2 linked regions of the Oryzias latipes genome follow. The protein of the gene in region 1 interacts with the protein of each later gene in a pairwise test. Links are inferred from orthologs where the notes say so. Each region holds a gene or a part of one and is shown on either strand. Other genes may lie near its edges.

Region 1 (3,082 bases):
TTTAAAATAATTAATTAATTCTACAAAGAACATGTAAAAAACCTGTGCAGTCTAGAACTTTAAGGCAACACTAATCTAAACATGCTCTGCCTACCGAGATCTTCCTTTCAATATTTTTGCTTTTATGTTGAAATTCTTAGTATTCCTTCATAATATGCATGCATTTGTGCTAAGCAAATAATTTTAATCTGGGTTTAGCTAAAAGCTCACCGTGCAACATACATCGAATTTAAAGACTGACAAAGACGATGAGACATTATCAAAGAAAGTTTTTTTTCATGATGAGCTGTGACCTTAATTTCAAAGAATTGAGTTAAATGAAAAGACTTTTTATTGCACTTTAGCATCTTGATTTCCTCCAAGTGGACCCAGCAGAGTAGAGACATGATGTGCACTTGTTTCTGAAACATCACATGAAAGGTCAAACAGAAAGTTGAACCACATTTTCTATTCATTTTAAGCATATTGGACGGTTTGTGAGCAGCTTTTTCAGATTTCATGGGTCATTATTTTATAGTCAGTTTTTCTCCACTGCTGCAGTTTCGCCATTTTCCATGCATACAAATTGATAAATTGAATACCATGAATCTGGGCTTAATAACCATGTTAGAAACATTTTTCATGTTGTACAGCAGCGTGGTTAAACCAACCTTTTATTAGTGCATTTTTCCTATAGGTGAACCATCAATGCTGAAGCAATACGCTGTTAGCTTACATTCTATCGAGCAGCAAAAACACAAAAAATCGTGGAGTTCTTGCAGACAAACGCCACACAAAATGCGGCCGCTGCAACCAACTGTTCTCCGTCACGTTTTCCTCTCGCCTTGCTGAAATCCAGACACCCCTTCTTTGCAGAAGAAAAAGCGGACGCCGCAGAAAACATCGCCACAGAAACGCAGGCTGGACCCAGACGTCGGGTCGGGGAGGAGGAACCCGTCCCGCAAGGCCCGTCCTCCTGAGAACTTTGCTGTCGAGGAAAAGAGCGAACCGGTTCTTCGCAGAAGCCACAGGGATGTAGACATCAAGAGGTTGATAGAGGTATGGCAAACACCTGGTGGTGATGTATCACTGCATTCATTTATTTAAAAAGCACCTTCCACCACCAGTCAAGGAGGCCCAAAGTGCTGCTGCACACAGGAAGAACAAACACAGAACATGAAGAATAAAAGGCAACTTAAAACAGAGATTAAAACTACCATAAGAACAGCTCTAGGCTTGATGCTAAAGCGCTGAAATGAACAATTCTTTTATAAAACTCTCCAAGAGTGTGACCTCTCTAACTGCCAGTGGCAGCTGATTCCATGGTTTACACCCCCTGAAACTCACGCTTGGTTCTGGGAACCATGAATACAAAGTGGTTAGCGGATCGTAAGGACTTAAGTTAGGGGGCAATATTTTAAAAGCAGACTGGAGAGGTAAGAAGGTGTCGTACCTGCCAGGGACCTAAAATAATAAAATAAATTGAGTAAAAAGCAGGTATTGCACTGGCAGCCCGTTCAAAGAGACCAAGACCAGCGTTGTGTGGTCAAACTTCTTTGCCCCACAAATTAATCTGGCTGCTGCAGCCTGACCATTGAAGCTTTGGGTAAGCCAGCATATCAAGAGCTGCAATAATTAAGTCTGGACAACACGAAGGCATTGGTGACAATTTCAAGGTTTGTTGTTGATTTAAAAGACTTAATCCTAGCCAGACGTCACATCTGAAAAAAGCAGGAGCCGGTCACAGCGTTTATTTGGAGGTTGAGCTTCAAGGTTGCATCAAGTTTAACACCCAGGTGTGTTAAACTTGACAGTTAAAAAGGGGCAAAAGAGTGGAGATTCAGACCATGATATTTTCCACCACTAGAGGTAAACACAATCACCTCAGCTTTCTTTTTATTAAGGGCAGTTAAGTTAGCCGACATCCACGACTTAACCTCCTGTTATGTCACGTTCATACCGGGCTGGAAAACTCGCCTTCATGTGAGCACTTCCATTGCAAAGTCTATGGAAACTCATGTATCTGAACATTTTAGGATTCTGCATTCAAACCTCTCATGTTCACGCATGGCTTTGCTGGTTCAAGAACCCGCTTCACATGGCCGGTGTGAACGTAGCCTTAGCTGTTTTGCCTGACATGCTGTGTTTCATTACCTGCTGCTGCTGGACAGGTGGATGAGGATCACGTCGGTGTCAAGCGGAGAAAGATCATGGGCCAGTTTTCCAGGAAGAGTGCGTACGTTGTGAAGTCCGTTGATGAGATCACCAAAGAGGATCTGGACAACATCGCGTTCCGCAGCAAAGATAAGATCTGGGACAAAGAGAACGTGAGGAATTCTGGGAACTTTTGACAGAGATATTTGTGGGTCTGATGGGATTTTCTTCACTTTCTCTGCTTTTTATTTTTATTTTCAGGGCAGCTCGTGCCACCAGTGCAGACAAAAGACTCTGGACACCAAAACAGTGTGTCGCAGTGGTTTCTGTGTGGGGGGCAAAGGTCAGTTCTGTGGACCGTGCCTAAAGAACAGATACGGAGAGGACGTGGGCTCTGTGCTGCTCAACCCGGTCAGTGTTCAAACAGGAAGGCCTTTCTCTCACATTACTCTCACATTAGGGAATGCCATAACCACATATATATTAAAGTTTTCAATCCTGCACAAAAGGACAGTACCACAAACATATAACTAGGTCAGGGGTCGGCAACCCAAAATGTTGAAAGAGCTAAATTGGACGAAAAAAACAAAAAACAAACATGTCTGGAGCCGCAAAATATTAAAAGCCCTATTTAAGCCTTATAATGAAGGCAACACATGCAATATGTATCTATATTAGCTATATTAGCCTACTATCAAAATGACTTAAGGCCCGTTCACACCGGGACAAATTTCGCCGGCGATTTTCGCCGACGTTTAACGCCTTCACATGTGGTGTTATTGAAAAGCCCCAAATATCCTCTACAGATAACAAAAGGAGTTTATTCAGTAGGAGATACGTTGTCCACAGCAGCGGTCCCCAATCCCCAGGCTGCGAACCCGTACCAGGCAGTTAATACTGGGTCGCAGAGTTAAAAAACAAACAAACTACAACCTACAATTTCTTCCAT
Region 2 (4,326 bases), on another chromosome or scaffold:
CACCACCGCGATGGCGACATGTGCTTTGGGTTGAGGACAATAAAACTGACCGACAACAGCCCCGCCCCAAACAGACAACTAAATCATATCAATAATAACACATGTGGGTGAGCCCAAAAGTCTTAGTTTGGTTGCTTTCATGTTATCTTAAAGATAGATATTATTAACTGCTACAACAGGTTTTCTAGAGTTTTTCTAATCAGAGCTAACAAATCCAAAATCGCTGATGCATTATGTTTTATATAGAGCTCCAGCCCCCAGATAAACCAGTTTGCAGGTCAAAATCCATGTGAAGGATATCTGTGTTTTCATGGCTTAGAAGGCCCAACAGGGAGTGGACGGCATTGAGCTCCACCAGCAGGTGGTAGAGATCCGGCATGGTGGCGATCACGTGCATTTCCTGGATGATGTCGTTGAGATCCAGCTCCGACTCCATGAACCTGGTTCGGAAACAAAGTTAATAGTTTTCCAAAAAAAGAACATTTAAACAAAATCTTTGATGTAAAAAATAATAAAGGAAAAGCATGTTTACTTCTCAGGATTGTCAGGAAACTTGATCCTCAGTTCCTGGTTTTTGTATGACCTTTTCTCAAAGGTCAGGATCATTTTCTTCACTGTGCTTTCATCCACCGGCTCGGCCTGTTTGATCCGTGGAACATCAGAGGACATGGCAGTGGTGAAGAAAATAGAGGAGGAAAAAGGGGGCAAAAGCTTTTTAGGTCGAAGCAGCTGCTGCCGGAGCAAAGAGCCATCACTGCGACATTAAACGTGTGAGTGGAGTCATTTTTTTGCATCAATTAGGGTACATTTTACAGAAAAAGGGGATGCGTTTGACCTCCTGAAGGCTTAAAAGCTGTAAAGTGCTAGACGGATAATGACCGGTTAGGACATTTCAACTGCCTGACATTATGGAGAAGAGGAGCCATTAGCTCTGAGAGGCCCTTGACAGAGTAAATTTTTGAAAATGCCTGCAGTGTGGGGATAATATGAACTGAATTATCAATGTGCAGTCTTCAAATGCACTGCAATATGGTAACACTGGTTCTAGTGTTACTCCTTTGGAAATTCTGACGCAGCTGCATTTTCCACCGTGGCCTAACTTAAGAGCTTCGCCTTCTGGCTTTTAATGCCACAAAAAAAAAAAAAAAAAACAGGTACGTTTACCAACATTTACTCATCACCGTGGTCTCTCTTCATTTTTATCTGTTATCAATACCAAAAGGATGGTTACATTCGCACACATGCGTTTTTGTTTTTGATAATTGTTTTCACCTCGCACCTTGAAAAATGGACACAATGAACATTTAAATAAGGAGAAAGAACCTTCTAACACTTATTAGTTCTTCTCAGTCACTTCCTTCCCTCATTTTGTCCAATTCTTACCATGTGGTTGTTAGCAGAAGTTGAGTAGTCGTGGCAACGACACAACTATTCATCTATGCTTAGACAGTAGTGCAAAAGAACCAAAAGCATTAAGCTCCTCCAAATGTATGCCGTATTGCAAATGTTCATCACTTCTGCATCATTCCTGCACTCTCTAAAGAGGCAGCTCTGCATAACTCGCTTTAAATTACAAACAAAACAGCATTTTTCCACCTAAAGAGGAATCAAATGGTCTCTGTGATAAAAAAAGGAAGAAGTCTGAACTACAGACACAGCCTTTTGGAAGAAAGAAAAAAAACGACCAGTAAATAAAAACAGCTTTCCCACCTCGGGTTCTTCTTCATCCTGGTCCATCAGTTTTTCCAGTATCCTCTTCTTGTCCCCGGTCTGCTCTTCGCCGTCCCCCGGTTCAGCACGACCCTCTGATCCCGCTCCAGCTTCCCGATGTCTGGCCGGGTCCCGGGATCCCAGTCCCTTCTGCTGCTTCCCTCCTCTGGAATCATCGTCTCCTCCTGCTGCTCTTCCTTCTTGCTCCCTGGGACGTTTTGCTCCTCTATCGGGCTAAGAGTGGAAAACCAGTGACATGCAATAAGGAGCACAGCGACTGAACGTGATGAAGAAATATCAGGTGAACAGGCAATGATGAATGTCCAATGTATGAAAACAATTGTTCGGAAAAGCTGCAGCAAAATAAGTCAATAAAGTCCAGTACAATTTAAATGATGTGATTACTTCACCTGTAAATTAATATTACTTAAATTGTTTAAACAGTAAGAAGAATGAGCTTAATAGGGCATCTGAGTAATGATTATTATTAGGAAATAGGTAAAAATCCATAACAAGATAACAGCCATAGCAGCTTTCAGCATTAATGATAGGAACTTGTTGGTACTTTTTCAAAACGCAAATGAAAAACACAGCACAGGAGTAAGATTTTTGAACTTTATTACATAAAATAATCACATTTATATTAAAGGATGACATGACAGATTATTTCTAAGAACTTTTAGGGAATGACTGAGTGAAACGTCATCCATCCAGCAGCCAAAAACATTTGACACCAAGTCCGGATTTTTGGTTTTCTCCCAATATTATTTCTTTTAATAAACCCCTAATGCAAATGTTTAAATGATTTTTTTATCGTTAATAATAAAAATTTGCAGCCAGCAGCACTGAAGTAAACCAAGCTAATTTAGTTTTAGCGCTAAAAACTGTGTACCGAGATGCAGAGCAGTCTTTATTATTTTGCTCCGCCAACAACATAATGTACAAACTTATAAAAACAATAATCACAATTTTAACTAAAAAAAAAAACAAAAGACAGAGAGTAAAGCGAGAAGAACTAGAAGCTCAAGCTGAAGTTCAAAACTGTAGCCAGGAGCTGAAGCTCAGCTGCTACATCTTGAATGAATGACCGGAGGCTGAGAAAGAAACACATCTTCGTACCTGATAGTTTAAAAGTTCTCCAACATCCATTTATCCAGCCGGGAACTCTCACAATAAAACACAGTCTGCTTAGAACGCAATGAGGGGAAAGTGCGGCTGTGCGACTAGCTGCACGGCTAACTACAAGCTACCCAGAAACATGCCTGCCGTAAAGCAGGGCTGCCTGTCGTCATGGCAACCTGATGTCGCGACACTCCATTATCTCATTTTGCGTCTAAATGAACTGGCATTGGAATTTTGGAAGAATACCAAAAGCAGAACTGTTAAACAGTTAAAGAATAAATGATCCACTGTCTCAATGTCCTTTAAACAAAAACTGCAATCATTCTCTTCAAATCCAAAACGAAGTATCAAAAATTCCTTGGATGGGTAAACATCACTAATTATTTTAAAATGAATGTCTTTTACTTTTGGTAAAATACAAAATGTAAAGAAATTCGACCTTAAATCAATGACCTCTTCTTTAGAGAAGTGTTTAGAAATGCTTTTTTTCTGATGAGATGTTTGGAAGACTTCTTTCACAAACAATCTTCGTATGAAGCTGTTTGCTAGTTCTGTCTTTGTAACTGGCTGTCCGTCCAATAGGAGTGAAGGAAGTTTTAATTGAACTTTGTTTAACAATAGATTTTGTGATACTTGGATCAACGACCGAGGAAGAGCTTTGTTCACAGCATCATATTGTTTCCGATCAAATAATTGAAATTTAGAACTAAAATTTTCAAATGTCAAAATATTTCCAGAATGATCAGCAAATAACTGAAAAAAGCGAATCTATTATCTATTGCATATCGAGGAAATATCAAGTATTAGATCATTTAAACAACACAACAAAAATATTCCAGTATAAATTTTGAACATTCAGATAGATCTAAAAAATAAAAAAAAGGATTTATAACTTCATACAAGTGAGTATGGATTTTTATTAAATTTGGTCTTTTTTCTTTTAGGCCTCAGTCTAAATATTACTCATTCCATATAGTGTCACGGAATTTTCTAAAGTTATGATATTCACCAGAGATGAGTTAACTTTGTGCACAGCTTTCGTTGTGTTCAAAGATGTGTTTAAAAAATGCAAACAAACAAATAAATACGATTTTCCCTTTTGTCATCTTTTAAAATTGTATTCGTGGTAAATTATATGAGCACAGTCCCTAGTTTAAACAATTTCACACAATAACATCCCTTAATGCTTAAACTGGTGGCCTGACCACACAAAAGAAAAGGCACTTGGGAGTCGGGCTGCACGATATGAGAAAAACTCGCGATATGCGATGTTGGTGATTACTATTGCGATAACGATATCATTTGCGGTATATAAACAAATAGCAAAACAACCAAAAACATCAATCCCATTTCACTGCAACAGTTTAAAAATTATACTCCAAATGACCCTCGTCGACATAGGAGGCAAACATCAAGGGCTCATCTGATTGGTCAACAATGTAAACGGGTCCTTCCGATTGGTCAAATGCATAAAGGGATTTATTTCATTTGTTC

Evidence for each region.
Region 2: the proteins of cdca7l (region 1) and ctnnbl1 interact in binary tests that used the Homo sapiens proteins (3 or more experiments, as listed by UniProt). The link is inferred for Oryzias latipes from reciprocal best matches to the Homo sapiens genes CDCA7L and CTNNBL1.

What each region holds. Positions count from the first base shown.
Region 1 is NC_019869.2:9,681,164-9,684,245, forward strand, and holds part of cdca7l (cell division cycle-associated 7-like protein), read left to right. Parts: intron 1-855; coding exon 856-1,038; intron 1,039-2,150; coding exon 2,151-2,306; intron 2,307-2,394; coding exon 2,395-2,544; intron 2,545-3,082. UniProt on the Homo sapiens protein: Plays a role in transcriptional regulation as a repressor that inhibits monoamine oxidase A (MAOA) activity and gene expression by binding to the promoter.
Region 2 is NC_019865.2:1,925,378-1,929,703, forward strand, and holds the start of ctnnbl1 (beta-catenin-like protein 1), read right to left. Parts: upstream 2,998-4,326; 5' UTR 2,860-2,997; coding exon 2,830-2,859; intron 1,945-2,829; coding exon 1,711-1,944; intron 640-1,710; coding exon 533-639; intron 441-532; coding exon 301-440; intron 21-300; coding exon 1-20. UniProt on the Homo sapiens protein: Component of the PRP19-CDC5L complex that forms an integral part of the spliceosome and is required for activating pre-mRNA splicing.